Bombyx mori: one gene and its partner. The protein of the gene in region 1 interacts with the protein of each later gene in a pairwise test. Links are inferred from orthologs where the notes say so. Each region holds a gene or a part of one and is shown on either strand. Other genes may lie near its edges. The genes, in order: splicing factor Cactin and cact.

Region 1 (17,209 bases):
GTGTGCTGGCCGTCATGTCCATCGCCCACACAGGGGCCCCATACAGGGCCATGGACCGCACGATTCCCACGTACAACCGCCTACAGGCGGCGCTCGGGCCCCCCAAATTGGGAAGCAACGTTGAAAGCGCGCCCGCTGCACCCATCAGCTTGGGCACCAGCCGCCGGAAGTGGGGCCCGAATTCCCATCGGCTGTCGAGCACCAATCCCAGATACTTCATGGTGGACTCGACAGCTATCCGGGTCCCACTTACCACGATGTGTGATCCCGGCGCCGGCGCACGTCGGGGGCCATGAAACACCATAGCCTCCGACTTGTTTAGGGCCACCTCCAGGCCCAGGCGCCGGATGCGGTTCACCACCAGTGACACCGCAGCCGCGGCTATCAACGTCGCTTCCCTGTGCGAGCTCCCCCGGGCAGTGACAAGCGTGTCGTCCGCATAACACGTCAAGTTGGCGCCCGACGGGAGCTCGCCTCTCAGCACCCAGTCGTAGCCGATGTTCCACAGGAGCGGTCCCAAGACCGATCCCTGTGGAACACCGCACGACATGAGGTGCCGACCGGCACCGTCACGTCCCCGATAAGTGACGCATCTACCCTCCAGATAAGCCCCTACCGTGCGGCGGAGGTAGGGAGGCACGCGATGGTATTTCAGAGCCTCCCGAATACAACTCCAGGGTAGGGTGTTGAAAGCGTTGGAGATGTCTAAAGACACCGCCAGTACCACCCCACCCCGGGACACCGTCTCCTCCGCCAGGGCCCTCACGCGCATGATGGCGTCTATGGTGGAGCGCCCCCGACGAAAACCAAATTGGTTGTCATCCAGGTCCGGCCCCTCCCTGCACAAGTGGCTGACGAGGCGATCTGCGATAATGCGCTCAAAAAGTTTGCCCGCCTCATCGAGCAGCACTATGGGCCGATACGCGGACGGCGAGTCCGCGGGGCGCCCCTCCTTCCTGAGCAGGACCAGCTTCCCCTCCTTCCATACACTAGGAAACTGACCCTGCTCGAGACATGCCGTAAAGAGCCCCCTCAGCTGGGGCTCTAGCTCCTTCAGAGCCAGGACGAGTGCTCGACCAGGAACTCCGTCGGGTCCCGGGGCCGTGTTCTTAGACCGGAGTCGCGACACGGCCGCTCTCATTTCTGCTTGCGTCACCTCGGGGACATCGGTGCTTTCCTCTTCTCGAGAGTCTGTGGCTGAGGGTGAAGCCATCGCCGGGGAAACGTATTCCGCTCGCTCAGGGAAGAGGGCCGATACAACCGCTTCTAGCAACTGGGGTTGCATGCTTTGCGCCAGTGGAGGCGCCCAGGCACGCAACTTGCCCCGTACCCAACGGTAGGGGCGCCCCCACGGATCCCGATCTAGGGACCCCAGCAGCTCCTCCCTGGCACGCGACTTAGAGTCGCCGATGGCCAGCCACAGAGTCTCCTTAGACGCGCGGTACGCCTCATACAGCGCGTCTTCCTCGACGGAATCCCGTCGACGTCGTCTCCGGTATCGCGTGTACCGGCGGCGAGCCGCGACGCACTCAACGCGCAGCCGTGCGATCTCGTCGGTCCACCAGTACACCTGGCGCCTTGCGGACTGTTGGTGGACACGGGGCATGGACGCGTCGCAGATCTGCGTCATCGCCCCTCGAAACCACAGCGCCACCGCTTCGACGTCGACGGGACTGTTCATTGTCGACTCCCAAATCCAGGACTGGACTAAGGCAGCTTCCTCGAGTAGCTCCTCGTCGATGCGCTTAAGTGCCCAGCGTGGGCCGTCGTTAATCGGGGCGGTTGGCTGGCGGCCGCTCGCGGTCTGGGCAGAGACGTCGAACCGGATATACCGATGGTCCGACAGCGTCTCCACCTCCACGGCGACACGCCAGTCGCGGACTCGGCTGGCGACAGAGGGGCTAGCAAACGAGACGTCCACTATCGAGCCGCCCCGCTGCCGCACGCACGTGTATTCCGAACCCCGATTCAGGACGACCAGACCAGTTGTCACCGCCCACTCTTCTAGCACCTCGCCCCGATGGTCAGTGACCGGAGATCCCCACGCCGATGACTTGGCGTTGAGATCCCCGAGCACCAGAACGGGACGAGGGTGATAGCGGCCTACGACGGCGCCCAACTCGACGAGGAACCCCTCAAAGTCGGCGAGACTCTTGTTGGGAGAAAAATACGCCCCTACAATGCCGATACCGTCCGAGACCGCAGCAACCCAGCCGCGGCCCCGAGACGGGTTGATCAGAGTCTGGCCGATAATGGCCACCAAGCCGTCAATGCTCCCCAGCCAGTTGTCACGGGCGGGGACAAAGTACGGTTCGGCGACCGCAGCCACGTGGATCGACCACTCTGCCATGCTCTGGAGTAAAATATCCTGAGCTCTGGCACAGTGATTGATATTGCCCTGGAGGAAATGGAATTGTGCCATTATTGACATTCCATTCCCTCGGCAACGGTCCTGGGCCGGGAGTCGGCTACGGAGCTACTAGCCTGCGGGGGTGGCGAGGTTTCCCCGGTAGGTTTTGAGTTCCTCTTCTTCTTCTTGGCCTTGCTGGCTGGTGCGCCACAGGCTCCTCCACCCAGCCTGTGTCCCGCTGGCTTCCCTGCAGCTGAACACAAGCTGCAGTTGAGCGCCGCGGAACACTGAGCCGCCTTGTGGCCGGGCTGACCGCAGCGATAACAAAGGTCACTGCGGTCAACTTCAGCGGTGCACTTTGCCCGGACGTGCCCCTTATCCAGGCACCGGAAACACCGCAAAGCCCGGGGCTGTAGAAGTTTCACCCTCGCTGCAACCCAGCCAACCAGCAATCTGCCGCTTAAGGCGATCTTTTTCGCCGACGCTACAGGGCACCGAACCCAGACCACGCCGAGTCCGGTGGCATCGGTGCGTATATCGCCGGCCCGCACCTTGTCCGATGGACACTCTCCACTTCGGGCAACGGCCGCTACCACCTCCTCAGAGGTCACGGAGTCATCCAGTCCAGCAATCCGCACCTCTGCGGTTTTCATTGGCCTGGAGACCCGGACGTCCTCGGGGCTGAGGACCTCCCTCATCTTGGCGGCCAGAGCGTCCGCCTTTTCGGCACTGCCACTCGTAGTACCAGCCACCTCGAACAACCGTGCACCCGTGGCAGCCTGCCTGTGGGTGACGGCCTGAAGACCAAGATCTGATAATTTGATCTTGGCCTTTGCTTCGGCGATGACCGACTGGTACGTTACGCCGCGCTCCGCAGCTCCGGGCTGTAGCGTGAGCGTCACAGCTTCGGAACGCGGAGCACGTATCTCCGGTCCTTTGCGACCGCCTTTGGCAGCCCGCCGCGCAGGCTGCGCAACCGCCTTTGCGGTTTGGCCGGGGGCATGCGTTGCTGCTGAGGCCGCCTTGGCGACCCTGCGTGCCTTCTTGCGGCCCACGACTGTAACCCAGGTCTCACCCTTAGACCCAGCAGTCGTGGGCTGATCGCTCGATGGGGCTCCCTCGACGGGCTTTTTGACACCCTCCGCGGGCTTCCCCTCCCTAGGCTTAGGTCTCGGCGGCTCCTCAGCCCTCCGCCGTGTATCGGCCGCTAGTGGCGGACGGAGGATTTCCGCAGGGAGGCGCCGAGAAATTGCCTCCATACGAGCATTGACCATGCTCCCGCACTGGAGCATACAGAGCCGGACAATGCGCTCGACCTCGTCGTCGGTATGAGTGCTTGTCGGTCTCGGTGCGGGAGCCGGGGTCACTACCGATGCGGCATCAGTGGACGTACGCCGCTGCTGCTGCTCGCTCAACGCAGTGACTCGTCGCCGGAGGTCCTCCATATCATTTCGGAGACGGCTGTTTTCCTCCTGCAACTTCGCAACCTCGTCAGAGGCCGTCCTGTTGAGGAGGATGCCAATCGCCTCCTTAATGTCCGCGGCAGCTTCTTTCAGACCGCGGGTAAACGTGCCCTTCAGGCTGCCGGATTTGGTGGCAACCTTCAGGACTAAGTCCACCCCGTCCAAGGCAAGCTGACTTAGGGCCACCGCAGATGGTTCCCCCCCTTCCGCCGCTAGAGTAGCGCGTCGCTCGCGTGCGCGTCGGGCCATTTCCGACACTTCGTCGGCCGCGACAGCTTTGCGCTGCTCTCTTCGGGCGGCGTTGATCTCCGCCTTTGAGCTCCCTAGCGAGGCACAGCTCTCGCCACCAGGGTCCTCGGTAGTGACCCCCATGTCACTATCTGCTTTGCTGGCAGCCGGAGTATTGGAGCACACGAACCTACCCTGTGCGTTCCTCCGCGGCCGTGAAGCAGTCACTCCTCTCGAAGCCTGCCGACCTCTCCTCGTGGTCGGTAATTTCTTGGGGGGCAGCAAGCCTTCCTCATCTGAGGACAGATCCACCGACCCATCTCCCACTGGAGCATTGTCGCGTGAGCGTTTTCTAACGGAAGACGACCCACGCGGTCCTCCGTCAATATTTTCAAAATAACTGCTTCCAGTAATATTATCAGCAACAGGGGCCTGGTCGCCTACTCCTGCGCGTCCATCGGTAACCAATTTATCACTCGCAGGCCCGGGTACCTGCGAGCGCCGGGCGTCAGCCGGGTCGCATGACAAATCTCTCTCATAGTTAGCCATTTTCATATTAAAGAAGTGGGTGGTACGCACATAACTTCCCCAAGGCGATGTGGCCGCTCTTTTTGGGAGGGTGTTTGATCCTCCCGAGGCCCGCAGATGCCTCCGGTGCAGGATATACCGCCCGCTGGTCGGTATCTACAAGCAATTTTTTTTTTTTTTTTTTTTTTTTTTTTTTTTTTTTTTTTTTTTTTTTTTTTTTTTTTTTTTTTTTTTTTTTTTTTTTTTTTTTTTTTTTAATATATATATATATGAACTAGCTAAACTAAACGAAACTAAACTAACTTAAACTAGCCACCACCCGGCACCGTGGTTTAATCACCTCGCCACGGATGCCCCTAGGCCGCAGGTTGAGGAGCAACCCACGGTCTTCTCCACCTCGATCACCGCGACGTACACGTAGCGGAGACCCCTAGGCCACGAACTGTAAAACAGCCCGTGGTCTACCCCTCCTTGCTCCCTAGTCGTGTACTCTGCAGCTGCAGAGCGCAGATAGAGAGCCCTCGGGAGCGACTCCTCCGCCCCGGCAGAAATTCGCCGTGGGCAACAATCTCCTCTTTCTCACCCCTCACGAGGAGATTGTTGCCCACGCCCAGGGTGCACCGGCCCAGCGCCTGCTCGTCCTCTCAAGAAAACAAAAGGACCAGCAGCCACTGAACACTCGGGGAGGTTTTCTGCCAGGCACCCCAACCTAACCTAACCTAACCTAACCTAACATTTCGTTTCAATTAATTTCAACCCAATTGCTTACAGTTCCAAAGAAATTAACTACACCTCATTTCATCATTAAAAACTAAAAATTAAGCTGTATGTTATAACACCTTTGCTTTTATAGTTGAAAAAATGGAACTTGCTACTTACTGTCTTTCACTTGACAAATGACAAGATCATCTACACAATATTAAAATTTTAATTTAACTTATAATTTTAAGATCAATTTCTACGAATTGTACGTCTATCTCTTTTAAATTTATCAAGAAAGATTAATATTTATTAATATTCAAGGTCTACTCTGTCTCTAGATCAAATCAAATAATAAATATGTGAGTATATTAGATTCACTTTAATTGAAGAGTTTATGATTTTATAAAAATTTTTGAATGCCTATTATGTTTTTAATTCACCATTCAACTATGAGGTATTTAATACATTAAATATGTACACATAGTTATTTAAATATTTTCAAAATAAATATTTTGGATATTTTAGGTCTTCAAGAACTGATACACGTCGTATCGAAAGATCACGGAGTCATTCGGTGGAACGATACCAAGAACGTAAAGATAGCAGAAGGTCCAGGAGTCGATCATCCAGTCACAAGACTCACAGGTCAAAGTCGCTCACGTCCAAACAGAGTTCTACAAGCAGAGAAAAAAAGCGTAAAAAGACTAAGAAAAAGAAAAGACACTCTTCTAGCAGCAGCAGTAGTAGTAGTAGTTCTAGTGACAGCAATGAAGAAGAATTGAATTTCTTGCAAAAACTGGAGGCCGAAAGACAAAGACTCAAAGAAGAGAAACGTAAACAGAAAGAGATGCTCAAAGCGAAGGAAACTCCTGAGGAGAAAAGGTAATAATAGTAGATACTAGAAAAATGGGTCGAGAATCTGAATTGCGAAATCTAGCTTAACGATCTTGAACTCATTGTGGTTTGACAAATAGGACTTCTGTACTTTTTTTGAGCTACACGACTATGCCAGTGTTTGAATGCCGTAGTCGGTATACATTTTTGTTTTGAGATATGAACTTAGCCAATTTATTTCTTATCATAATGAATTTAATGGTATAAGACCCTGGCTAGTTTAGCTACTAGTCCCTGCCTCATTAAGTACTAGTAGTAGTCTGTTGTAATCATGGATACCATCCTGCAGATTTATATCTTGAAGCAGCTATGCATTTTAGGTTTGAGGTTATAATCTTATGGTGGATGTTAGATTCTTCATTTATTTATTCATAAATAAAATTTTGTTGAAGTCTCAGGAAAAAGAAGAACTTTCAATGAAATACTAATTAAAAATATATCATTATTAAAATGCTTAAGGTAAACTTTAATATCACTATTCATTTCTTTTGCTTTGCTTCATGAGTACTGTCCATTGTATCACTTTGTGTAGAACTGATTATTAACTAACTCCATGTTGCCTTTGCAATGCTTTTTATTGTCAAGACGACTATGTCTACTATTTTCCAGACCATTTCTATAGGTACTTTCAATATCCATTTTTGTTATTTGACAACTGATGGCACTACTCATACTGCCATAACAATACAATGGCAGTCCCACCCCTTACATTGGAAGGTATTTTTGGTTTTTGATGCATATAGGCAGGATGAAGGCCGTACCTTCTTACAAATCTTACAAATTTATTAGTTTTGTGGATTTGATATTAAAATTTATATTATTAAGTTATGTTTCCTTTATTGTAGCATGCATCCATCATGATTTTATTAATATGTCAATACTTTTTAAACTATATATTGTTCCTAATTATGCTGATGGTGGATTGACTATGGTTGCTATGGCTTATATGCACTTTGAGGATATTAGAAAGTAAATTTTTGTACTCAATCCGTGCTGTTCTAATAACATTCTTTAACTCCAAGCTCCAAATATAGAATTTATTCAAGTTTAAATTGGCAGTCAAAAGAACAACAATATCACAAAACAATAAGTGTTAAATAGTATAACAACTAAACGAACATTAATTTGTATGTCTCTTTCACTCTTTCCAAGTTTTGTCATTACCAATTACTTTTTATAGTAATAAATTGTTTTACTGATACAATTACCTTTTTATTTAATTTAATTTAAAGGGAGAGGCGTCTTCGTGAAAAGCAAGAAAAAGAAAGGAAACGCCGCGAGCGTATGGGCTGGGACAATGAGTACCAATGCTACACTAACCAAGACAACCCATTTGGAGACTCTGCACTGACCAATACATTTGTCTGGGCTAAAAAACTTGCTAAAGAAGGTGTGAAAAATGTATCCAGAGAAGAACTTGAAGCTTTGAATAGACAGAAACAATTAGAAAATAAGATTGAATTGGAAAAGGTAAGGATTTGATAATAGACATAGGCTTAAGATAGGCATGAGGCTTTATAAATATAAAGTATAGCAAATGATAAAGCTATGGGAGTTGTTCATGAGACGCAAACATTCTAAACATTTACAGGGTCTAGGTGGGGTAGAATGAAAACTGACAAACAGTCTGTGCGCTGTCCTATTGTATATTATTGTATAGATCTTGTTGACCTGGGAACTGCGTAGTATATCGTGATCAATTGTAGACTCTAAATATTAAGAACATTACTGCCCGGTTTCAATTATGGCATTGAGCCAAGAGTGTAATAATATTGTGGGCCATTCCGTACATATTACTTATATTACCAGTACAAAACTACTATAGATAATGACATATTTACTTTGTAAATTGTAATGAATATAATTATTTTGTTTTAAATTGTGCATAAGAATAGTTTGTAAAATAAATCATAACTCTTTGAGCGCGTACCGTTGATATATCGACTTTATTATTATGGCTATAAGGTGCGGAGAGTCGGAATACCGACGTTTGCGCAGTTTGGTTAAAGGTAGGTGGGTATCGAACTTAGGGCGCGCAATAATAAGTTAATAGCATCTATAAATAATCATTTCAAATTATTTTACTGTGAATTTAGCATTGATTTCTGTTTTAGGTTTCCTTTAAGTTAAAGTTTTTTTATCAGTACTTTTTTTAAAAACCCTTTGGTATTTTTTGCCTAATATGTGCCAATAAGCTGAACACTACAAGATTTAAAAAATAATAGCGCTACATTATTCATTGCTAATTCTGGCGTACGTTGCACACGACTGCCATATCTTATGATTGTATCATTTTCATGTTGCCTGGTGGCAGTGGATTTCATTGGCGACACTGCTGTTTCTGCTTCGAGATATGTCTGTGAGTGTGTGTGTGTGTGTAGGTGAAGCAGCGCCGCTTGGAGCGCGAGGCGGAGCGCGCAGCCCGAGAGGCGGAGGCCGGGGCGGCGGCGCGCGCTCGTGAGGCCGCGCAGTTCCACAGCTGGGCGCGCCACGAGGATGCCTTCCATTTGCACCAGGCCACCCTGCGCACGCAGATAAGGATCCGGGATGGACGAGGTCAGTCACAATAAAGCATTATCTTAAAGAGAGGCAAAACACTGGAGGTAGGACCTCTTCTGAGTCCGCGCGGGTAGTTACCACCACCCTGCCCATTTCTGCCGTGAAGCAGTAATGCGTTTCGGTTTGTAGGGTAGGGCAGCCGTTGTAACTATACTTGAGATCTTAGAACTTATATCTCAAGGTGGGTGGCGCATTTACGTAGTAAATGTCTATGGGCTCCAGTAACCACTTAACACCAGGTGAGCTGTGAGCTCGTCTAACCATCTATACAATAAAAAAATAAAAAAACAGTCATTATTTCTGTATATTTTGTGACCGCTTGCTTATCTACAGCACTGCAAGCTATACCTACTGGTAATTTTTACGAAAATTGCGCGGACGGTGGAGTATGAAATTTCCCACATTTATACAAAATTTAGAGAAGGGGTGCAAAATGTTAATCTTTTTTTTAATTATGCATAAAAATACATAAAAATGTTTATAGTCTGTGGTCAAATTGAGAATAGATTAATATTATTATCCTCACTTGTGATATTTGTATGTTGTTTACAACTATGCACACCACTTGGTTCCTTCAAACAGCGAAGCCGATAGACCTGCTGGCGTGGTATGTGAGCTCAGAGGAGTGCGTGGATGCTCTGGAGATGCACGAGCCCTACACCTACCTCAACGGGCTGCAGATGCAAGACCTCGAGGACTTGCTCGAAGACATCAAGGTATAAAATACTTTCAGTACCCGTAAAGCTGAGCAAAGCTTACACCAGCACAATCGGACTTGTTCACTCACCCCAGTACCGACACAAGCACACGGCCAGCTCGGGCCTCCCTGTGGGGGGGGGCGGCCCTACCCCGATAGGACGGTGTAGGACTCATCTGATGATTTATACGAAGTTGTAATAAGGCCTTGGCAAAAGTATTCACTCTACTCACTCTGCCATTGTTCGAATACCATAAAATTAAATTACGTACCTAATACGTCCGTGAATATTTATCTTCATTCTCCAAAGTGTAGGCATCAGCCGCGCGATATGAACGATTTGCCACCCACCGTGGTGGGGGTCGGGGGGCTGTGGTCCGGGGTTTATTCATGAGTTAAATAATTCTCGTAGTGTTTTGTCACACAACTTCACTCCTCGTGTTCCCGCCAAAAAGTCCATATAGATGGTAGAAAAGGGTAGAAAACATAAATCATATAATATACAAATATTTTTGGTAGGTTTACAAAGAGTTGGAGAAGGAATCTAACCAGTCGTACTGGGAGGACGTGCAGACCATCGTGCTGGACGAGCTGGGCAAGCTGCGCACCGTGGCCGCGCCCTCCGCGCGCAGGGACGGCGTGCACAGGGCCGTCGCCGATGACGTCACACAAGTACTTCCACTCTTTACACTACTACACTCAAGGCTAGGGTTGCAACCTTCTTTTTGTAGATAAAGTACATTGGTTATTACAGGTAGGAACAAAAAGTACATAGTATTAAAATAAAGTACAATTTATTTTTTACTGTTATTATGTTTAAAGACATTTTTTATTACCATTGAAAAAATTAAACAGGACTGTGACAATTAATGACAGTGACATATGAGGTTAAGTTCGGTCAGAATATTTGTAAAAACAACGAGTGCTTAGGTGATGTAGCGTTGGCGAGTGGCGACATCGATTGAGCAATCGATGTATTTCGCTTAACGAAACAATACATATGACTAAACTTTTCAAAATCCCAAAGAAACCAAATCATGCCAAATAAAGTATTTTCGTGTACTTTATTGTTCACATAAAGGATAGCGTACAATACTTTATTATAAAGTACGGGTGGCAGCCCTAGTCAAGGCGCCAGACGGACGCACGCGGCGCGACCCTCCGGTTCCGGTCACTCGATCTTACCCGCTCTCTACCATTACAGATCTTCAAAGGCAAGACCGGAGCTCAGCTGGAGGCGCTGCAGACGCAGATAGAGCAGAAGATATCCGGCAGGAGAGACGGCGTCGACATCGGGTACTGGGAGAGCTTGCTTAGCCAGCTGAAAGGTAACCGCTGTCTGGCGCGCATGCTGCTGTCCACTCGTGCACAATATGCCCCTGCCAGCTGTCGTCTTAGAACTAACCGTTACTTTCTGAAGACGGGGTTGGTGGTAGGACGCTTTGTGGGTTCACCACCGCCCTGTCCATTTCTGCCGCGAAGCAGTAATGCGTTTCGGTTAGAAGGGCGGGGTCGCCGTTGTACTGTAAAAATTGATACCTTAGAACTCGTATCTCAAGGTGAGCGACAGCATTTACGTTGTAGATGTTTATAGGCTCCGGTAACCACTTAACAGCAGATGAGTTGTGAGCTCTTCCACCCATCTAAGACGATCTAAACCAAGCTCCCAAACTTATTTTGGTCTGCTGCCCATTTTCAGAATAAATTATTTTTTAGCGCCCCCATTTTTTCATCTAATTAAAAACCACTATAATGAGAGCTCAATCGGTGTCTAAGAGTCTTTTTTTTCTGGGTCTCCTACCGCCCTCCTTAAAGTCTTTAGCGCCCACAAGGGGGCGCTATCGCCCACTTTAGGAAAGGCTGATCTAAGCAATAAAAAAAATGTGGTGACCGCTTCAATTAATCCAGACTCTGCGTAGACGACTCGTGCGGCCCTTTTTTTTCCATTTTTTTTTTATTAGATTGGTGGACGAGCTCACAGCCTACCTGGTGTTAAGTGGTTGCTGGACCCCATAGACATCTACAACGTAAATGCGCCACCCACCTTGAGATATAAGTTCTAAGGTTTCAAGTATAGTTACAATAGGCCCTGACTGACCTGCTCTCTGTAGTCATCGACAAGATCATTATTAAAAAAAAGGTGTAAATTAATTGACCACTCATCGATAAATCAGTGGATAAATGTAGCCGCCCCCGAGGCTGCTGAGCGGCCGCAGGAGTCGCTCGCTCGGTATCCACAGAGGCCCGAATGCAACACATTCATCTAAAACAGAGAGTAAAGTAGCGCGTTGTGTCGCCAGCGCACCGCGCGCGCGCCCGCCTGCGCGAGCGGCACCGACACAACCTGCGCCGCAAGCTGCAGCTGCTCAAGCGCGAGCAGGGCGTCGCCCCCGCGCCCCGCGCCCCCGCCAGCCCCGAGCCCGCGCAGCCCGACGGCGGGGGGGCCGCGCCCGACGGCGGGGGGGCCGCGCCCGACGGCGGGGGGACCGCGCCCGAGGCCGAGGGGGACGAGCACGAGGAGGAGGAGGAGGAGTGCGTGTCGCTGTACCGGTCGGGTCGGTACTCGCCCGCGCTGCTGACGGACCGCGACCTCGAGCCCGCCACGCTGCTCACCGAGCCGCTGGCGGACCTGCAGCGCCTGCACTACCTGCGCGCCGCGCGGACCCGGGGCCGCGCCCCCGCGGTACGTTCTAACCCTTGCGCGGTCGGACAAGGCGGACTCCGTAGTGACATCACTGCGCCCCGGCACAGACCGTACTTATTCAATGGTGTCGATGTATGAACAGGGACGACCAGAAGGCAGCTCGGCGGGGCCGGGAGCGGGCGGAGGGGCGGAGTCTCTGGAGGCGGAGGCCCGGCGCGCCATGGGCGCCCCCGCACCGGACACGGCGCCCTTCGCCCTGGAGCACGCGCTGCCGGACCAGCCCTGTCTGTGGGCCGACAAGTACAGGCCCAGGAAACCGAGATACTTCAACAGGTCATCTCATGAAGCCAATATCATTACTACAATTACTATTAGCTATTTAACCGACTCTTTATAGATGAACCGATTTAGATATTTTTTTTTTAGAAGTAATACTTTTCATGTGCACTCATTTAAATTTTATCAAAATGTGACTAGTTAGCGATGTATTTTTAATTGACTACATTGAAGATATTTTAATTTTATTTTCTTGACAAAGCTTTTCATTTTTGTAAAAATTTTGTGTTATTTAGGTACTGTGTGCAGCCCCCGAACAAGGGTCGGCAACGAACTATGTCCCCGCGGACCGTTCCGTACCGACCCCGTACCGACCCCGTACCGACCCCGTACCGACCCGTACTGACCCCGTACTGTGCCCGTACTGACTCCCGCCCGAGCCTCGTTATTAACATCACATCTGTGTCCGCAGAGTCCACACCGGCTTCGAGTGGAACAAATACAACCAGACCCACTACGACATGGACAACCCTCCCCCGAAGATCGTCCAGGGATACAAATTCAACATATTCTATCCGGACCTCATCGACAAAAACTCGACACCGGAGTTTTCTCTCGTATGTGATTAATGTTTATCTATCTAGGTTGTTCCTCATTCTTGTAAAAATGGTAGTATGGCAGTATGGTATTATGGCAGTATGGTAGTATGGCAGTATGATAGTATGGCAGTATGGTAGTATGGCAGTATGGCAGTATGGTAGTATGGCAGTATGGTATTATGGCAGTACGGTAGTGTGGCAGTATGTTATTATGGCAGTATGGTAGTATGGCAATATGTTATTATGGCAGTATGGCAGTATGGTATTATGGCAGTATGGTATTATGGCAGTGTGGTATTATGGCAGTATGGTGTTATGGCAGTATGGTATTATGGCAGTATGGTATTATGGCAGTATGGTATTATGGCAGTATGGTATTATGGCAGTATGGCATTATGGCAGTATGGCATTATGGCAGTATGGTATTATGGCAGTATGGTATTATGGCAGTATGGTATTATGGCAGTATGGTATTATGGCAGTATGGTATTATGGCAGTATGGTATTATGGCAGTATGGTATTATGGCAGTATGGTATTATGGCAGTATGGTATTATGGCAGTATGGTATTATGGCAGTATGGTATTATGGCAGTATGGTATTATGGCAGTATGGTATTATGGCAGTATGGCAATATGGTAGTATGGCAGTATGGCAGTATGGTATTATGGCAGTATGGTATTATGGCAGTATGGCAGTATAGTAGTATGGTATTCAAGGGCGGATCCAGCTTTGGTGCCAGGAGGGGGTCACATAGTCATGGTCAAGTCAAGAACTTATAATTTAATTTTGATAACAATAGATACAAGTAAAAAGTAGGTATTTTATTATAAGCACATTAAAGGTATAAATAAATTTTAGTTTTTTAACTTAGAACTGTGTTATGATATGTTGAAGTTTAGTCGTTCCGATTCCGATTGAGGTTAGGCCTAGCTAGACGTTACGTAGTCGACAAGCGCGCGCGAGTGTGGCGCGGTAAAATTCAAATTTTCGATGCGTTCGTTCCCAAACATTTGCCATCATACAAAGTTATTATATTATATTAAATTAATTAAGGAGCAATATAAGGAGCAACAATATACCTAGTCTTGCCATAAATACTGAAACAAAGGAAAAAAAAAATTCTATTGCAAATAACATTTATTACTTTTACAGTGTGTTAGTTTAATACATAAATATAAAACAATTTAAAGTATAAAAAGCTTATTCGAAGTGGTCTCCATTGGCTGCAATACAGTCCTTTAAACGTTGAGGCCAGTTATCAATAGAAGCACGCACTCTTTCCATGGAAAATTTTTTCACTGCTAATCGTGCAGATTATTTTAGGGACTCCAAATTATCATGGCGTTTAGAGCAAGCCGTACTCTCTAAAACTGACCATAAATCATAATCCAGCGGATTAAGATTGGGACTAGACGACGGTCAGTCTTCAGCTCTGATGAAGTCCGAAACGTTCGTTTCCAACCAATACTGCGTAGACCGAGCTTTATGACCTGGCGCCGAGTCTTGCTGGAAGGACCATTCTTGATTATTGAACATGGTGTTGTTAAGAGGCTTCACTACCTTCTCAAGAATGGTATCTTGATACACTTGTGCCGATGTTTTGATACCTTTTTCACAAAAGTATGGCTCAGTCACTCCTTCATAGCTGATACCCCACCAAATCATCACTGAAGTCGGATAGTGCCCACGTTGCACTCTGTCGACTAATTGGGAAGCTTCCTTAGAGCTTTGAGCATAAATACGGTCATTTTGTTTGTTAAAATGTTGCTCAATTGTAAAAAAAAATTCTCATCCGTAAACAAATTTTTTCTATGACCTTCCTTTGCGTACCGTTTCAGTAGTTGTTTCGATTTTACCCCCCATTTTCTTTTAAATTATCAGTTAAGAAATGACCACTAGGTCTCTTATAGGACCATTCTAACCGGCGCCATCTAGGCGGGCTTCGGATAGCCTGCCGACCGAGAGGGCTGGTGGTCGTGGCGCCGACGACCGCCAGTCCGGCGTCCCGAGGGGGAGGGTGATGGGAGAGATGTGCTCCGCACTAAACGCTTCACTTTCCCCCCTTTGCCTTTTCATGAGTTTTGTCTCATGCGAGGTTTGGACGTTGGTTGTTGAGAGACAGGAGGTTTTAGTCGGTCCGACTCCGACATGCCCCGCCCTCCATCCCCAGTGAAGGGCGGAAGTCCGGCGATCCGGCGAAAAAAAAAAAGGTCTCTTATAGGCTGCAAGTCTTACGCGACATGGTTCTAGGTGCTATCTTCATCTCCCGAGATAAAATCTTTTGCTTTCGGACAGGATTTCTTCGAATTCTTTCCCTTACTGCTTTGACCACCTTTTTCGTACGAACACTACGTGGACGGGTAGATATTTTGCTGTCACAAACAGACTAACAGAGGAGGTCTCATTGCACCCATTAATAGCCCGGTACACAAACATTTTACTAATACCAAGCGTATGGAGAGTTTTAAAAATTGCCTTTGGCTCCATACCTACTTTGCGTAATGCAATCACAGCGATTCGGTTTTCTTTATCACCCCACTCCATTTTAATATCGCAAAATATTATACAATGTATTGGCGCCAAAATGAGAAAACTCAATGAGCAATCATAAAAATTCCAAATTCAAATGTAATATTTTGTTTATTTTTAATTGTAACAGTATTTATGGCCAGACTAAGTATTGTGTCCTTAAATCATTATGTTCAATATGTGGTCCACCTAGGTGCCGGAACCAGCTCAGGGGGGGGTCATGACCCCCATGACCCCCCCCCTGGATCCGCCCTTGATGGTATTATGACAGTATGGTAGTATGGTAATACGGTGACGCACGTTGCAGAAGCCGTGCCCCGAGAACGCGGAGTTCGCAGTGCTGCGGTTTCACGCCGGCCCCCCCTACGAGGACATCGCCTTCAAGATCGTCAACCGCGAGTGGGAGTACTCCTACAAGCGAGGCTTCCGCTGTCACTTCCACAACAACATCTTTCAACTTTGGTTTCATTTCAAGAGATATCGGTATAGACGCTAGGGCTAGAGATATTATCAATAAAGTTAAATACACAAATTGGTTTGTCATTTTAATACCTATTCTTGTTCATAATGAATATTGCTCTTTTACTTAGAAATGTATATTTTATATATACGAGTAAATGATAGAATGCAAATTATAGAACCAAAAGAAGAAACTGGTAACGTCCGTACCTATGATACGTTGCAATGGGTATACTACTGGAGATGTAACCCAAGGAGGATACTGTGTCTATGCAGCATGCTGTGCTGACCTCACATAATGTCGGATAGGGGCAAGAAGAAAATTAAGATTCCTTATTGGTCTTTTGTATGCCTTATTTTAAATGTCTTCTGCATTGTACAGGCAAAGTTAACTAGCAAAATTTTTGAAGTATATTTAAAAATAAGAACGACTAAAAGAAATTATCGGTGCATTCGTATCGAGCAATGTTCGAATACCAATAGTACCAATTTTTCTAATGAAATATGTACAAATGTTCACGACTTACTTCCACAGTGAAGGAATGACACCATGTAATAAAAATCAAACGCGCAAAATCTTATACCTTTAAACGAGCAATTCTTGTATATTAAAATATAGATAATCTGAATCTCGGAAACGGCTTCAACGATTTTTATAAAATTTTGTATACAGGGGATTTCGGGGGCGATAAATCGATCTAGCTACGATTTATTTTCAGAAAATGTTGTATTATTCGTGTTTTCAATAATCAACTCTTCCCGACATCTATTGGCGAATAATAATACTATTTTTCTTAATTGAGGGCAACTAACCGTTTTAAAGACACAACAAGATAGCGTTATCAACAAAAAAGCGAGCAAAGCTCGGTCATCATCTCCTTATTATTAAATAACCCGAAAAAAATATATTTTGCGTAGTTCGTAGTTAGGTAGTAGGACCTCTTGTGAGTCCGCGCGGGTAGGTACCACCACCCTGCCTATTTATACCGTGAAGCAGTAACGCGTTTCGGTTTGAAGGGTGGGGCAGCCGCTGTAACTATACTTGAGACCTTAGAACTTATATCTCAAGGTTGCGCATTTATGTCGTAAATGTCTATGCGCTACAGTAACCACTTAACACCAGGTAGGCTGTGGCTCGCCCACCCATCTAAGCAATAAAAAAAAAAAGTTCAGTACCACCACGCTGCCTATTTCTGTAAAGCACTATTGCTTATCAGTTTGAAGGGTGGGGCAGCCGTTGTATTGTTAAAACGGAGACCTTAGAACTCATGTCTCTAG
Region 2 (17,134 bases), on another chromosome or scaffold:
TAATAATAACAATATTTCATTCAATCCAGTTTAAATTTCAATAGATCCAATTAGATAAAGTATAAATCCGTTACTTAGTTCAAGAGTAGGCGCAAACTATACCAATATATCGGTTGGTTGATTAATTTGCATACTTTCGTTAAGCTTGCCTATGGAACGATACCGTTGAATACAACCAACTACCGCTTGCCGAAAACCGACCGTTCTATATTAAATTTTGTGTTAATACGTAAATAACTCATCAACTTGCGGAATAAACAATTTATTAGCAGTGACGAGGCCGCGCTCGAACAACTAAGTAAATTGTTATTATTATTGATTCTGATTAGCTGAAATGGAGTGCGCCGCGACCTTAGTCGTAAGCGGATTCGGCACGAATTTAGTTTTTACGGGTCGTGTCTTATTGAATTCATCATTCAATCTCTATTTTTCTGAAATCCATATTGAAATACAGGTAACCGACCCCCTATAACACGGTATTTTACAACACGGTTCAACTTTAAGCTTCCCAACTCTCTTATAGCACGACACTTCTACAACACTATAAAGAGACTTTTGTTACAAATGATTTGAAAAAGTGATAGATGTCTATAGGCTCCAGTAACCACTTAACACCAGGTGGGCTGTGAGCTCGTCCACCAACCTAAGCAATAAAAAAATAAAATAAAGATCGATGCACTAGAAATCCTGGAGAAGGATGCTCCGTATATCTTGGACCGAGCATCGCACCAACGCCTCCTAAAGGAATTCAACATCTCTCAAAGGTCGTCGTCAACAGTGCAGTTCAAAATTCTCCGATATTTATCATTTTGACACGTATCGCGACGGCTCGCAGTCTATCGAGAAACTTGTTGTTCAGGGTAGGGTCGGTAACAACAGTGATTTCGGGAGGGCGACCCCTTTTGAAGAGCAGGGCAGTGCTTTTCGTTGGGTTGAGTTTGATGCGCTGTTTCCGAAATCACTATCCTAAATTGGTAAATTAAGCCATTGTGCCAGACTATGTCGAGCGCCTTTGCGATAAGAACGAAGAGGGCTCCGATGGGGACGGGTCTGCGTCTATTTAGCCCTACTAAGGTGTGCTCCGTGAGGCGGTGCACATGCTGAATGCACGAGTCTTTCGCGCGGAATCCGAACTGTTCGTCGATCAGGATGCCTTCCGAGGTGATGAAGTCCCAGAGGTGTTTCTGTAATAGCCGTTCGTATAATTTGCCTAACGCTGGGAGGAGGCTGATTGGGCGGTGTGGTTATCTAGGTAACTATTAAAACCGGAACGCACGAGGTTCAAAGATTATATTTCAAATATTATTTTGTATATATTATATAATCAAATCTATCATCAATATATCAATATCAAACATCATACATCAAATCAAATAAACAATCGGATAGTAATAGAACTCTAAATAATACAAATACAGTTCGATAGAGGCAGCTAATGTATATGTATAGTATAGGTAGGTATACAATACAATATCGACGGGAGAAAGCGGAAATGTCGTAACTTGAATTTTGGGCTAAATCTCTTTTTAACATATTATATTTAGGGTTCTCGTGTAAAGTTAGGTTTTTCACGTTACGACAATTCCGCTTTCTCCGTCGATATGTACTACTATAGCAAGCACCGCAGACGATTTTCTGTTCGTAAACTTAAAAACTTGACATTTTATCAAATTGCCACCTGCCGGATCCAATTAGAAAACAAAACTTTAGAGGGAACCGCTCAAACACAAAAAAACGGTCCAGTCCCCTCTACGGTGTTTGCCACTGCGTTCATCCACACTGCGTTTCCAGAGATATTTTTTGCTACGTACCGGCTTTAGAACGAGCCAGGGTGTTTCCCGAGCGCTATGACATGTCCATCTTCAAACGAGGCTTCTGGAGAGTACTTAATGGTAGGCAGAGGCTTGGCTCTGCCCCTGGCATTGCTGAAGACCCTGAACCACTCACCATCATATAGGCCGTATGCTCGTGTGCCTAGAAGGGAAATAAAATAAAAAGCCGCCTAGGAGTTGAAAGGCAAAGATATATTTGTAAATGCGAACGAGACCACCCGTTCGCCATTTGCAGTATGACAAAAGTGACTCACGTAAAATGAGAATCCCACTTCCATTTAAACTTAGAAACTTTGTCCATCCAAACGTCCGAAACGAAATAGAAACATTGTTCTTTACAAAACTGAGTTCTATGAAATTCGTCGACTTTTTTAATTTGAAGTTGCGAAGTCGAGTGTCAGTGACGGCCGCTTTTTCGGCACAATAAAGAAAACATAAACGGACTCTGAATCGGCGAGTGGCCCAGGTATTCAATGCACGATTTTCATGGAAAGTCTGCCTATGACAGATGGAGTTGGACTGTAAAATATAAGTATATTTTTTTTTAATCTGCTGTTGTTTGGGAATCCCTGTGTTTCTTTGTGACCCGTAGTTAGATATTCGAGCTGAAAAACCCACTGTTTATGTTTTGGGTGGTTATACAAGTCCATCAAGGTTAATATCACGCCGTACCTAACATTTCTACTACCAGTCAAATTTCTGTACTACGGTATAAAACGTATATGACTAAATTATCTAAGGGGTAAGAAATAATTAAACATACCTACATATAACTCTTTAACGGTTTGTATTATATTGTAAAATATTCAGAACGGAATTCGAAAATAAAATAAAGTGTGAAATTAATTATATTAGTTTAAGTAATAATAATGATGTCTACGCGCGAAAACCGAAAACATTACAAGAAAACAAAATTTACAAAACTATTTGCTACTATCACGTCGCAATTACGTGTGTTATCTATATACCTACAGTCGACTCTCGTTAATTCCAACCTGCGATAATTAGAACCTCTCTATAATTTAAAGTTATCACGAGTTCCCTACAAAATCTCTTTATATTTCGAACTAAATCAATACATTTTTATGCACTTGGTAATTCGAACGAAAAATCATTGCTATATAATAAAACGACGCGTTAATTCGAACTCATCGGCGTCCAACACTGGACAATTCAAAGTTGCAGAGAGAAAGAGGTCGAATGATTGTAATGTAAGTACATTTTGCGACAACTTCAAACTTGTATCAACCATAGACCTATAGGTTTCCTACTACAGCGGTATCAACATACACGAGCCTTTGTTATTGTTATGATTAGTTAAACTCACACTTCCCCACGAATTGGTTTGTTTAGTTATGTTTCAGTTACGGTTAGTCTTTCGTTGGTATGCAGATTAAAAGTTTGTGTTAATTATGAGTCCTAGAAAGTATAAATGTTTGACGATTGCTGAAAAGAAGAAGTTAATCGAAAAAGTAGAGGAAGGTGAGAAGAAAAGTGATGTTGCAAAAGAATTTAAGATTCCTCTGAGTACTCTCTCAACCATAATAAAGCACAAGGAGAAAATTAATTCTGCTCAAACTGCTGGAGTACGGAAAAGAACTACTATTCATTGTTATAGAATAGCAGTTAATAAATAATTATTGATCAATACTTAGTAATTCGAAGTTTTATTTATTTTCTCTCACAAATTTCGAACCATTTGATATTTCAAACATTCGATAATTCGTAATATTTTATGAGTCCCTCAAGTTTCGAATTCACGAGAGTCGACTGTATATAAAAATGAATTACTGTTCGTTAGTCTCGCTAAAACTCACTGAAGTTACTATATAGGTCTATGCTAAAACTCGAGAACGGCTGGACCGCTTTGGCTAATGTAAAGGTTTAAAAGGTAGATAAATATAAAAATGCTCGGTATTAAATAAAAATAACAATTTTGTTTTTCCTCTGTGTCCCCCGTCGGACGGATTCATTTTGTTTGTTTTAAGTTTATTTTATATAAAAGCTTAGGTATTTTATTTATCGATTGAGACATTACGAAGTCTGCCGGGTCAGCTAGTAATAAATATAAATATACCTATTATATTAATAATTCATTGCACATTTTCTGTTCTGAACTTCTAATGCTGCAACTTTATCCATTATTTAACTTTACGAGACTGGTTAAGTGTTTGGTTGATAAATAGATCATGCAATATTGTAATATTACCTAGTTAAAGCGAAGTTTACAGAGAAAATGCAGACTGGTTTTAGTTGTAGTTTTGTGGATGTTTTTAGTGCCTGCCTCTATGCTAGATAAATTAATATCTTTGCTGTTCTACCCGATGATATGCAGGCGAAGTAAAATGTCCCTTAGAAATAAGGTGACACTCTACAAAACTTGCATACGCCCCGTCATGACCTATGCAAGTGTAGTGTTCGCTCACGCGGCCCGCACTCACTTTAAATCCTTCCAAATTATTCAATCCCGTTTTTGCAGGATAGCCGTCGGAGCCCCGTGGTTCGTCAGGAACGTCGACCTCCATGACGACCTGGACTTAGAGTCCATCAGTAAGTATCTTCAGTCGGCGTCGATGCGCCACTTCGATAAAGCGGCACGACACGAGAACCCTCTCATCGTGGCCGCCAGTAACTACATTCCCGATCCTGCGGACAGAATGGAAAGCAGTCGACGTCGCCCAAAACACGTCATCTCGGATCGTCCCGATCCACTAACGGTGCTTTTAGGTACTTCAAGCACCGGTCACCGTTCTCGTCGAACCCGTCGAAGGGCTCGACGAGTAAATTAACTCCCAGACACAGCCCACTGAGTTTCTCGCCGTATCTTCTCAGTGGGTCGCGTTTCCGATCCGGTGGTAGATTCTGCGAAGCACGGCTCTTGCTAGGGTTCGTGTTAGCAACGTCATCAGGTTTGAGCCCTCAAGGCTACCATCATAGGTAGGAAAAAAAAAAAAAAAAAACTGCGCTGTATCTTTTTTGAGAAAATAGTTTTTTTCAATGCCAGCTCATTAACAGGGCACGTAAATATCAAAAACGCAAATGCTGCCACACACCTAAACAAAAGTTCTAAGTCTGAAGTCTGATATTAGGAGACCTCGGGGCTGATGATGATATTGATTGTTGCATCATTTGATTTGACTACAGCAAGCATTATATTCTTTAGGCCACTATGACTGCTCTTTCACCCATCAGGGATAGTAAAAAAAATGGACACACACTTGCTTTATTAGGAGGTGCAAATCTAATCAAGTCAAATCACTAAGCTTATGGTAAAAATAATCTTCTCATAAAATTTATTTCCATACAGACATCAAACATTATTTTTCACAATATTATTTAAAACATAAAATGGTCAAAAATTCACTATTGATAAAATAAATTCACATTATTTGTTTCAGAATACCCTGTCGTATTAAAGTCTGACATTCCGAAGTAGGAAGATAATGTCTGCTATTCTTCTTAAGCATAACCACATCACCATCTTCAAGTTCTAATTTACCATAATCCACAACACAAAGCACTTCGATGAACAATGATTTAGGGGGCTTTAAATTTTCAGTCAAGTCTATGCCACTGTATCCTATATCTTGGCCTAAAGATCTCATATACAAAGCAAGATTTCCAGAGTATTTTGAAAACCATTGATATTCATCATCAGAAAGCAATTCTCTGATATCTGGAGGTAGTACTGCACCAAATTCCCAACGTAATGTCTTAATTTTTTTCATTCTGTTGTAGAGATAGGCTAATATACACCTTTTATTGCGTTCAAGGGCAGAATGTCTTACTTGAACTGTGGTCCACAATGATCTGTTTTCTGTTGTAGCATTACTAAAAATAGTAATTCAATTAATACAAGCGGTAATCATAAAACAGTTTGTTGTTATCTTCTTCTTCTATAAATGAACTTGATGAGCAATTGAACTACATATTTTTGAAATTTAAATTAAAATGGACTAATAGCAGGTAACCTTATTACAACACCACATGAGACTCAAGTGCATGAAAATATTAACCCCTTTGCACTAAATGACGTTTTCGTTTGTGCGGACCAGCAACTCAGACCGATTTTGGCCAAATTAGAGAAACATTTTAAAAGTACTTTAAGATCAACAAACAAACACACATTTCTCTATTTTTTTTATATACCAAAAACAATAATTAGTACTATTATTAAAAAACAACTACACTGTAAAAAAACTCAATAAGCTGAGCTAAGATTTGGTTAGAAATTGAAGCCAAGCCTGTCCACTAAAGTATTTTTAAGCAGATACATAACCGTAGTGCTGTAACAAATCTGCTGGGTGAGATATCTGTGCTACTCAAGCACAACCAGTAAAGCTATCAAATCTGCTGGGCAAGTTATCCAAACTGCTTGAATGTGAAGAGTTATAAAACAAAAAAGTCATAAAACTTTTTTTTGCATAATTGGGTGAGAGATCTCAGGGCTACCTCAAATCCCATGAAGCTAGCATAACCCCTCGAGGTTAGTAGCAATAGATTGACAAAAAAAAACAAAAATAGACCTTCCTGGAGTTACAAGGTTACCTGAGCACTTTTGCATCACATGAAACAGAATAGGAGGTTACAGAATAGAAGTGATCATAGCAAATCTTGCATATTGAACAATAACTACTTGCAGTTATATTAGTAGAAAACCAGTGACTTACGCATCATTCATGTTCAATTTAAATAATAAATGCATTTCTTCTATTATTTGGCGTATTTTTTCATCCTGTAACATGTGAAATACTATGTACTTTATAAGATTAAAAGACACAAAAATAATAATAGGCGGTGCTATAACAATAATTTAATATACTTGTCACTTCTAAATGGATTTCTGACTTTATAGTGCATATGCATAGACAAACAGAATAGATGACAACCGGATAAAATCTTGGTTTCGGTATTAAATAGTAACTTAAAGCTTTCATTAGATATAACAAGTTTATTCTAATTCCAATCCCATACCTAGATGGGCACATCCAACTTACATTATATTGATCTATTGTGTCAGGATTTCTATCTACTTCTTTAATTAGTTCTATAACTTTTTCTGCGAACATTGTGTGTTACTTATTTACTTAACAATGAGAGAGATAACAAACAAAATACTTTAATAATTTAGATAAAAACATTTTTGGCATTGGCGCGAAAGTTGTTATTAATTTGATGAGTGACAGCTCAAGACTGTGACAGATAGTAAATTTGACATTTTATGATCGGATACGCATCATTTTTGGATGAGTTCGAAAATCACAGAAGCCTTGATCTTTAAATCTATAATACCAAAACCTAATCTTAAGATATTAAAATTTTCTAGAAGTGGGAGCTAAGTCATACAAGTAACTTTTTACAGATAATCACTTAGTAGCAATACAGCCAATAATAATCTCACTCTCCTTATCGGGTCGACCATCAGATCCAATTACTCTTGCAAAGACGCTTTCAACTTTAACATTAGGAGCAGACTTAGGGACCCTGATAACCGTACTCGTCGAACTCAACAAAGTGTTCGACGTGCAAACTAACCTCCCGGTGCCACCTCTGGGACATGATGATTTCATCATTCCCGCTGAATTGCGCCTCCTTATCAAGCGGATAAAGAGGCGCAAGGCATTGTGTGAGGACGGTATTCTCACCCTTGCATTTTTCCACTTTCTAGAATCAGTCGTGTCTTTTAAGACACGGCTGTTTAATTACATTCTGTCTACAGGATATTTCCCGGGAATTTAGAAGGACAGAAGACAGCCCTCCAATTATCGTCCGATTACCCTGTTGTCGTATGTGGGCAAGTTGTTCGAGCGGCTGCTGGTGAGAAGAGTGTCTCCGCACATCCTTCTCAGACCCGAGCAATTCTGGATACGTAGCAGTCACTCAACAACGCTGCAATTGGTCTGCGTTATGCACCTTTTGACGGTCCAACGCACGCCAGTACATGGCGGCAGTATTTCTCGATTTCGAGAAGGCCTTCAACCGTGTCTGGCGTGCGGGGCTTATCTGCAAGTTGGTGCAGAACACGGACTTCCAGCACGCCTACGTGCGACTACTGGGGTCGTACCTGGAGGGCAGAACTCTTTTTGTCGCGGTCAAGAGCGCTAAATCGTGGATGCGCCCAGCCACAGCTGGGGTTCCCCAAGGAGGTATCCTGTCACCGATCCTCTACGCTCTCTACACCAACGACATTCCCAATGTCGTTACGTTGTGTTAACACACAGAAATAATAAGCAGTAACATATCTATGACGGCGTTAACGTTACTTCTGTTATACAGCACGTGCAATAGGAGTGAGTCATACACAAGCCAGGTGCGCCGGCCGTGTCACTCCACTCGTAAAACAGCACGTGCAACAGGAGTGACTCATAGATAAGCCAGGTGCCCCGGCCGACTGCGTTTGCTCGGTGCACTTACTATATCCTTGTTACATTGTGTGATTAAGTGACTGTTTTACGTACTGGTTAAGGTTGGATAAATGTTAAAGTGAATTAAGTTATCATATTGTTGATTAAATCAGGAATCAAAAAGTGACTTCGTTTTACTGGGTGTTCAACAAGATAATATCCCCCGCCCTAACCCCCCCCCCCCCTCCCCCTCCCACATAATACGCAATGGAATTGTTCAATGAGTAACGTATGTTCGTCTGCTTTTTGTGGCCACAATACCAAACAATTACAACTTCTAGTTTTGTTGATCCGAAGAGTCGATAATTGTAAAATGAAAGAATAAACACCAAATGGAAATTTTAAGTTCTTTCTATTGGGTCCACAGCTGTCTATAAAGTTTACTTATGGACGAGAGTTTTACGTGATAACGTCGTAAAGACTCCGTATGCTTTACCACCTGAAGTATTTCCTTCCGCCCGAGACCAAGACAATACTCGTTCAAACTTTGGTTTTCCCCTTGATCGACTATGGTGATGTGTGCTACTTTGACCTGAATGCATAATATCTACTCAATAAACTTAACCGGCTTCTCAATAACTGCATTCGATTTATTTATGATCTTCGGAAATACGATCACGTATCTTCTCATCGCTCCCAACTTAAATGGCTCCCCATTCGACAACGCCGTAGCTTGCGTGCTCTCGGTACTCTTTACTCTTTGTTGCATTCCCCAAATCCACCTGCTTATTTAACTACTTCCTTTCAATACTTAGGGTCTGACCACAGCCGAAATCTTCGTTCATCTCACAATGTTCTTCTTCGCTGTCCTCCATATAGTTCTGACTCGGTTCTCTAAGGTCGGCCACTACACGTGAAGCGTTTAAGATGAGGGTTCGAGAACTGTTTCTAGAGAGTTATCAGAGTCATCTAATTGATAATATTTATTTATATATATTTTATACATATATATTTATGTAAATGTATTTATTTAAGTACGAGTTTTTGTATCTATAAATATTATGTATGTTATATATACACATATGTTTAAGTAATATCACTATCACACTACACCTATCAAGGTTCATCTCTGCACCCCCCTAAGGTAGACTCTCAGAGAATTTTTCGGAGCATCTGGGTCTACGGAGGGACTTCGGTTCCCTCTGTATTTTGTACCGTATGTTCCATGGGGAGTGCTCTGAGGAATTGTTCGAGATGATACCGGCATCTCGTTTTTACCATCGCACCACCCGCCACCGGAGTAGAGTTCATACATACTACCTGGAGCCACTGCAGTCATCCACAGTGCGTTTCCAGAGGTCTTTTTTGCCACGTACCATCCGCCTATGGAATGAGCTTCCCTTCACGGTGTTTCCCGAGCGCTATGAGATGTCCTTCTTCAAACTAGGCTTGTGGAGAGTATTAAGCGGTAGGCAGCGGCTTGGCTCTGCCCCTGGCATTGCTGAAGTCCATGGGTGACGGTAACCACTCACCATCAGGTGGGCTGTGAGCTCGTCCATCCATCTAAGCAATAAAAAAAAAAAAAAAAAACGTGGATGTTTTAGTTTATTTTTATCGAAATCACAGTTTTGTTATATTGTTTTACTTCACGAACCAACAGATATTTTTTTACTAGTCAAGACACCTATTGTCACTGTCTATGTCTATGTTTACTTTGTTTTTGCTAAGGATATCTATCAACTCAAACAAAATATTTTAGATTAAATCATCACGCAGTGATGTAGATTGTAGACAATTTACATGACACAGTGTTTCCGAACATGTCTCTAGAAAGTGACGTAATGACGAATGCTAATAAAAACAAAAAATGGCAGCCTTATGTAGTCACAAATACTCCAGCATTGAATCTTAATCACGCATTGTGCACGCGCATTCGTTGTAGTGAGGCTGTTTATTACGCGACATTTTTGTGTCAAAACATGGTTCCGTGTTCATAAACAATTGTAATATAAACAATAGTGAAACGATAAGATTATTGTTAAAATTGAAAACGGTCGTATAGAATTGAACCAAAAATGAGTGCCAAAAAAGATTCCGAAACGAAATTGCGCGAGGACGAGTACGCTGATTCCGGTTTTGTTACTGGTGAAATATCAGGACCGTGTGATAGTAATGATATCGATTCAGGGATGATCGATTATGATGAAAAGAATAGTGAAGGTGAAAGTGGAGTGAAATCCATTACGGATAGGCTGTCACAAGTAATGGTTAGTGTTCAGAGTCCTGCACAGAGTACCGCAGACATTCCTCCGCTGTATCTACTGTTCCAACAGGACGAGGACGGAGACACGTATGTATAAATCATTATACTCCACGCACTCTTACAACAACAACAAAAATTCTTCATTTTGGCTTTTTGGGGTCTGTGCATGAAATTTTTCCCTATAATTTTAAACAACATTGTTAACTTGATTTGACACTACTACTATTATTAAATACTTTTTCGAGAAACACTCCTTGCTTACCTTTTAGTTTAATGATAGATTTTTAAATATATTTTGAGATTTATCAAATTACTTTTTTGTTGTTGTTAAAGTCAATTAATTACCTACGAAGGGCATATTTAAAAAAAAAACATTGTTAATGTGGAAATTTTATCAAATTATACTTGTGCAAGAACCTCAGCTCACCAAGAAAATTAATATGACAATCTTACCCAGCCAATACAGTTTGTAATAAGTCAACAGACCTAAACTACAATATGTATTCTTATTAAAACCATGATGAAACTTGAACTATAACAAAAGAAATTCCCTGTGTTCAGTGAAATAAATGAGAGAAATAGCAACTTTACGTTTAAGGTGCTTACTATATCCTTTCATTCGTCTATTTTAATAAATCTATTTTGAATTAACATGCAGTTAAATAAAACCAATTTTTATCATGTTTCTTTATTAAGCTTTAAACTTTTTGCTAAAGCGTTAATTCTCGTAGTTTAGCATTTTATAAAGCATATTAAAATATATTGATATAAAGTTGCTAGTTCAATTATATTTTAACAGGGTACAATAACATAAACTTCATTTAAAAAAATGTTTATCAGTACAGTAACAAAAATGAACTTAAAGCGTTGTAGCCTAATACGGTAATATGCACATGATATGTTGTAAATTCTGTAATGAATAAATTGCATGCACTGCCCGCCATTGCAGTAGCCTTTGTCCACTCTGTGTAGAACCACTGTGTTTATCCACAGTGCATTTCCGGAGATATTTTCTGGCATGTACCATCTGGCTTTGTAATTAACTCCTCTCTTTGATGTTTCTCAAATGCCTTATAATGTTGGAAGGTTGGTTGACAAGATTTATAGAAAATACTCAGGGGCAGGAAGCAATTTGGCTCTGCCCCTGGCATTACTGATGTGAATTAGCAATGGTAACCACTCACCATCAGGTGGGCCATATGCTTTGATATCTTTGTTTTCAGTGAAACTATAGACTAAATATACATAAACTAAATATTCACTACTATGTTTTAGTAAATATAGCAGTGAAAAAGACTTGATATTCTTCCAATATTTAAATTAACAAGGAAATCATTTATACATTTTACAACTTCCTTTGCGCGGATTTGTTTTTTTGAATAAAGACGATCAAAGTGAGCAAATTTAATTGCTTGAAAAACATATTGATTGGATTGATAATACAATTAGTAATCATGATCAAGTATATAATAATATACTTATGAGTGCAAATGTAACTGTTTCAGCCTTCTTTGAATATAAATAACTAGGGACTATTTTTAAATATTTGAATTAGAACTGATAATTATTTGTTTTTCTAAACTATCTAAAACTACCAAAATATTATTTGTTAAACTGTTCCCAGATGTGTTGACAATTCTAGCTCATGTTGTTTTAATTATCAATACATAACATTTTACACTGTTTTTATTTATTTGATATCCCTAAAATTATTTATTTAACTTCCTCACTCAGATCAATAACCTATGTAGCTATGTATAATAAAAGAACAAGCTATTGAATAGATTAGATAGTGATATGATTACATCACTAGATGCAACTAGTGATGTCCTCAAATGACCTCACTCACAACACCATCACTCATATAAATTCTGAGGATTACATGGGTACATCTAATGTGTTTGTTTATATCAGGTGGTTCCTGCATTGTATTCAGATAGAATGGACTGGTTCATGCACATACCAATGATAGAATCAACCAATCGACAATATCATCATCTGGTACTCGTTTTCACAATTCAAACTAATTACAAAACAAGTTAACATTTATAAAAACAAGTTTACTTCCTCAATAATTGTAAATTGTTTCGTTTTATTTAAATAGTATATTTTATAATACCTATTAATAAATGTCTATGATAAATTTATAAATTAAGGTTTATTTATTTAGCATACATACATACAATCTATGCAAGTACAACATCGATATAACACCAGTTGTATAATAAATGATTAATCATACATATGAAATATAAAAAAATATGTTTATTAGTAGAAGGTCTGAAAAATAAAATATAAAGTATTTAAATTTAAGAAGTACTTCCTGTCTATGAACTCATTTTTTCAGTACAGATATTCCCATAAATAGATTACTCAATGTCTAAAATGAAAACAGTCACTATAAAGTGTTACCAGTGCCTATTATGGCTATTACATATCAGTGAACTACTTATTACATTATAAGGAGTCTGTGCAGTTGATATGTTGAATGTGAAGAGTTGTTATTTTCCATTACAGACAACTACACATCGCCTCCGTACACGGCTGTGAAAAGTCAGTGGGTACCCTCATCAGGGTGTGCCCTGAGAAGTCGTGGCTGGACGTGCCCAACGATTATGGCCATACGCCACTGCATCTAGCGGTGATGAGTGGTAATGCCATCATCACTAGGATGTTGGTCATCGCCGGAGCTGACATCGGAGCGAGAGACTGCCTCGGAGAGACTCCGCTACACAAAGCGACTGCCGCCCGCCATATAGAATGCTTAAAAGCACTACTTGCCAAAGTTCCTGAGCATCAGAGCAGTAAAGTATTAACAGTACTGGAGCAGAAGAACTACAACGGTAAGTTGTTTATTTAAAAGAAATCATTCAAATATTTCCTTGTAGCCATTTGTGAGCGACTCGACTGATAACAAATTCAGTAACAGATTAGTGTAATGAGTGTTGATCAATTTATATACCTCGTGCTTTTATTCAGATTCTAGCTAAATTAATATTAACTATAAACCTAGCAAGTTTGCAGCGAGATAAATTATTGTCTCACTGAATCAGATGTAAAAACCCATACAAACTCGGAATTTCCACTTACGATTCGCTTTAAGCGTTCTTAAAGACTTGACCGTCGGCAACTACCGCATTTTTATTATTAAAATTTATTAAGTTAAAATTGCGTAATTTCACTAATATCGTGGTCTGTTATCGGTCGTTGAATTAAGACGCAGTATGAACGATAAAATGTAATGCCGAGATTAGCACGTCCGAATTTGAACTACGCATAGTACTGTACTTATCCTGTGGTAGGTTAAATGTTTGACCTCGGATAATTCAGGGAAGTAGTATTTATTGCCGGCGCCGGCGTCGCGGTCCATCCAGGCGTGAACTTACACCCTAATGACGTCACGTGTTCATTGCATTAGAAGCTACGTAGTCTACTAGCATACATTGTTGAATTGAACACTAGCAGCTCGTATCTGGAGCCAGTTTGTGGCACGACACAGACATACGGCGTTGTTTACGTCCGAAGTGCGAACCGTGTCTACTTGTGACGTCATTCAAGGTCTCCATTACGATCGAAGTCATTAAAAATCTATCGTAAATTCGGTTTGGAATACAGCGAAACGCAATTCATGAGCATCCATTCAAAATTTTAGAATGTCTCGTGGACTCGTCCTCATTTTAAATCGTGAACACGGAACGACCCGTGTAGAGCTGCATCAAAACATGATATTTCGAGTTTTTTTAATTAGCGGTTTTCCCTGATCATCTCTGGTCGGCTTCAAGTTTTGTGTAAAAGAATTTCGCACGACTTCTGGTCGTCGATCTGCATACGGTTTTACCCGACGCTTGACCTTGCCGAGACAGTCAAACACGTATTATAACATAATTTTCGGACTTAATAATTATACATCTATACTGCGAGCCGTTCGACAGAGGCCGCCTACGTGCGAGGCGGTGTGACCGCGGACTGGGTATTCCCAACGACCGTTCTCAAACTTGAGTGAAAGCATTATGCTTACATTGAACCGAATCTACCGCTCCAAACGTTCGCACGACTCTTTAGTCGGGATGCCCCACTGTCCACTGCGCTGCACATAGCTAATTATGAATTTGTTAAGCAGCCGGCATAGTAAACTGGGTTTTTCTAAACAACAATAAATACATAATGTTTACTTTTCATATCTGCGTTTTGTGTAAACGCAGCAATTCCCTTGCTTCTATCGCCGTCAAATCGCGCCTGAAGTCGCTTGCTTTCACTAAGTAGCTTACAAAGTGAACTTGTTGAAGGTAAACACAAGTCCATTCCGTTAAATGTATTCGCTGGGTTGATCGGTCTAAGGAAAACCGCAGAGGTACGGCTGCAGGCACCGTAATTTCCCATTATTCGAGCTGAACAATGAGTCGATGTGCTGATGGGTTATACCCGCGTGAAAGTGTGTCCAGGGGCCGTGCTGCCGCGTTACATACTCGCGGAAATCCCAAGCGTCGTCGTAATAATAGCGTTACGTCGCCGCCTCGCCACCCACGCTTTCTAATTTTAAAACGCTGTACTGAATCTCACTTAACAGACGCGCATATGTATATATAGGAGAATTCAAATCATACCAAATTAAACCCTTGCGTGCTGCTATGTTTGGTTAAAGAAATATTCGACGACCGACCGGATTTAGAGAATTTCCAAAAAAAACAGGTTCCGCTGATGATCGAAGTGCGAGAGGTTGTGAATACTGTTTTTTTTTTATTAAACCTCAAGTTTATTTATGATTCGAGTCACGAAAATGAAGTAGGTAAATGGCATAAGGTAATGGAATTCCCAAATTAGCGTATAAAACGCTTCGAAAAATGTACACGAGGAATGCCCTCGTGTTTAGATTGCGGTTTGCTTACATATTTTATTGAAATTACACGCAAAAACAGGTTTTAAGAATTGAATTAATTAGAAAATTGTACTTACATGTAACTTTCATGATATTCCCTTGTACGAATCTACGATAAAATATCTACAATAGTGGACTGCGTACATAACATCCTATCTATATTAGCGTATAGTTAAATCCTTTATTGCATACCAAGATAATAGTCGACTATAAAAACGGAGGCTTTGGAATAGTTGTTATCAAAACAAGAACGAAGATATAGTATTTTCCAAGGTTTTCATGTATCGAAGACATGATTCAGAAGCGAATATACTACGCATTGATCTGACGTTCAAATTATTCGCGGCTCAGTTTCCGGTGTTTAGAACATTCCAGAAGTTCCCCGGTCACTGTAAATAAATTATGTGTTTCATATGAAACGTGAGTTTTCTACTTTTCATTTTGCAATACAGTTCACCACAACTTGGTTCCTTGACACCTTGATGTAAATTGTGTAGTAGTAATTGTACCGCCATCGTATTATTGCAAACGGTGGATCGTCGCAGCGTGGGATTTTCCTACACTCGGCCTGGTTCTTCAATGACCTCTGTATTATCAAGATTTCAACATAACCTTACAGAATATGGTGGCGGCCATGCCCGACATGTTGCTTGTTGGAGACTCTTCTCTCGGGACTGACATTTCTATGTAATACTCTGTATCTCGATTCGGGCGCATGCTTCAAAATGCACATTGACGTTGTCATGTCAATGGACAACTACTGTTTGTCTTAGGTTGTGTTCCTAATTGTAAGCCAATTAACGATATAATAATACTTGGATGGCACACTAAACGTCTAATTGGGGAACTTCCACTTTCGATTCGATTGACCTCGATAACTCCTGAATACTTATCTCTATGTGCAATCATGTTTGCTATGAGTGGTCTGTTCATGGGTCCTCATTTCGATTAGTTATGGCGCGCCAACGGTGGATATCAATTGTCTTTTTAAATAACTAGAAACGGTACTTTAAGGATATTCAGAAGTTCCATAAACGTATTTTTGTTCGTTGTTTCGTGTTAAGTTTATTCGCCTTCATAACACTCTTTTCAACTGCTCTCGGTCATAAAGGGGAGATGAACATGATCAATAGAATTTGTAATTCTAAATATTGATGTACACAAATTTTGTTTATCAATTTTTATATCGATACAAAATGCTGATCCTCGTGTCTCAAGACAAGCATACGACGGCTTATTGTAATATTTAGTACTTATCGATAAAAAAGAGATAAAAACCTAATTTCCGGTGTCATCTACAAACAATGATAAACTACAGCGAAGAATGGAAACGAATTAGTTTTTTTTTTTATTTGATGTAAACACATATGTAAAGTTGTTTTTATTATCGCAACGTAAATAAGGAAAATGCTTACATTTTTAAACGCAATAGTAGGTACGCTTCAAAGTTTAATGATGTTTTATACCTACGTAACAAATGCGTAAAAACACCTCGTTTTATTTAAAATTGAACTTTAAAATAACTATGATTAAAACTGAAATAACATTATCGTCGTCAAGACCGTGGTAATCGAATACCCGATATTGAATGACCTCTATCAAAAGTTTCCAGTGAGAAATGGTCCTGCATCCGTTTAGGACACTGTTTAATGGAAAGGGCCAATCAAACGCCGAGAACACACGGTGCAAAACAACATCTCTATCTTGAAGCCCGTCTATCTCTTACTCTCTCTAGTTGGTACAACGAAATTAATTTTGTAACGTAACATCAATCATAGTTATGATAAGGCATTTTCTACTAAAAGCTTAGATTACTCAA

Evidence for each region.
Region 2: the proteins of splicing factor Cactin (region 1) and cact interact in binary tests that used the Drosophila melanogaster proteins (3 or more experiments, as listed by UniProt). The link is inferred for Bombyx mori from reciprocal best matches to the Drosophila melanogaster genes cactin and cact.

What each region holds. Positions count from the first base shown.
Region 1 is NC_085125.1:14,773,276-14,790,484, forward strand, and holds splicing factor Cactin, read left to right. Parts: upstream 1-5,442; 5' UTR 5,443-5,628; coding exon 5,629-5,630; intron 5,631-5,796; coding exon 5,797-6,153; intron 6,154-7,397; coding exon 7,398-7,635; intron 7,636-8,546; coding exon 8,547-8,721; intron 8,722-9,306; coding exon 9,307-9,440; intron 9,441-9,940; coding exon 9,941-10,093; intron 10,094-10,625; coding exon 10,626-10,749; intron 10,750-11,721; coding exon 11,722-12,104; intron 12,105-12,207; coding exon 12,208-12,398; intron 12,399-12,813; coding exon 12,814-12,958; intron 12,959-15,779; coding exon 15,780-15,968; 3' UTR 15,969-16,004; downstream 16,005-17,209. UniProt on the Drosophila melanogaster protein: Plays a role in pre-mRNA splicing by facilitating excision of a subset of introns. Plays a role during early embryonic development. Involved in the dorsal-ventral embryonic patterning.
Region 2 is NC_085118.1:17,156,459-17,173,592, forward strand, and holds the start of cact (cactus), read left to right. Parts: upstream 1-10,099; 5' UTR 10,100-10,251; coding exon 10,252-10,526; intron 10,527-12,956; coding exon 12,957-13,282; intron 13,283-17,134. Other genes in the region: DNA replication complex GINS protein PSF1, read right to left, coding at 5,213-5,663, 6,503-6,567, 6,830-6,901. UniProt on the Drosophila melanogaster protein: Involved in the formation of the dorsoventral pattern. It inhibits nuclear translocation of the dorsal morphogen in the dorsal region of the embryo. Acts as a negative regulator of the NF-kappa-B (rel) signaling pathway.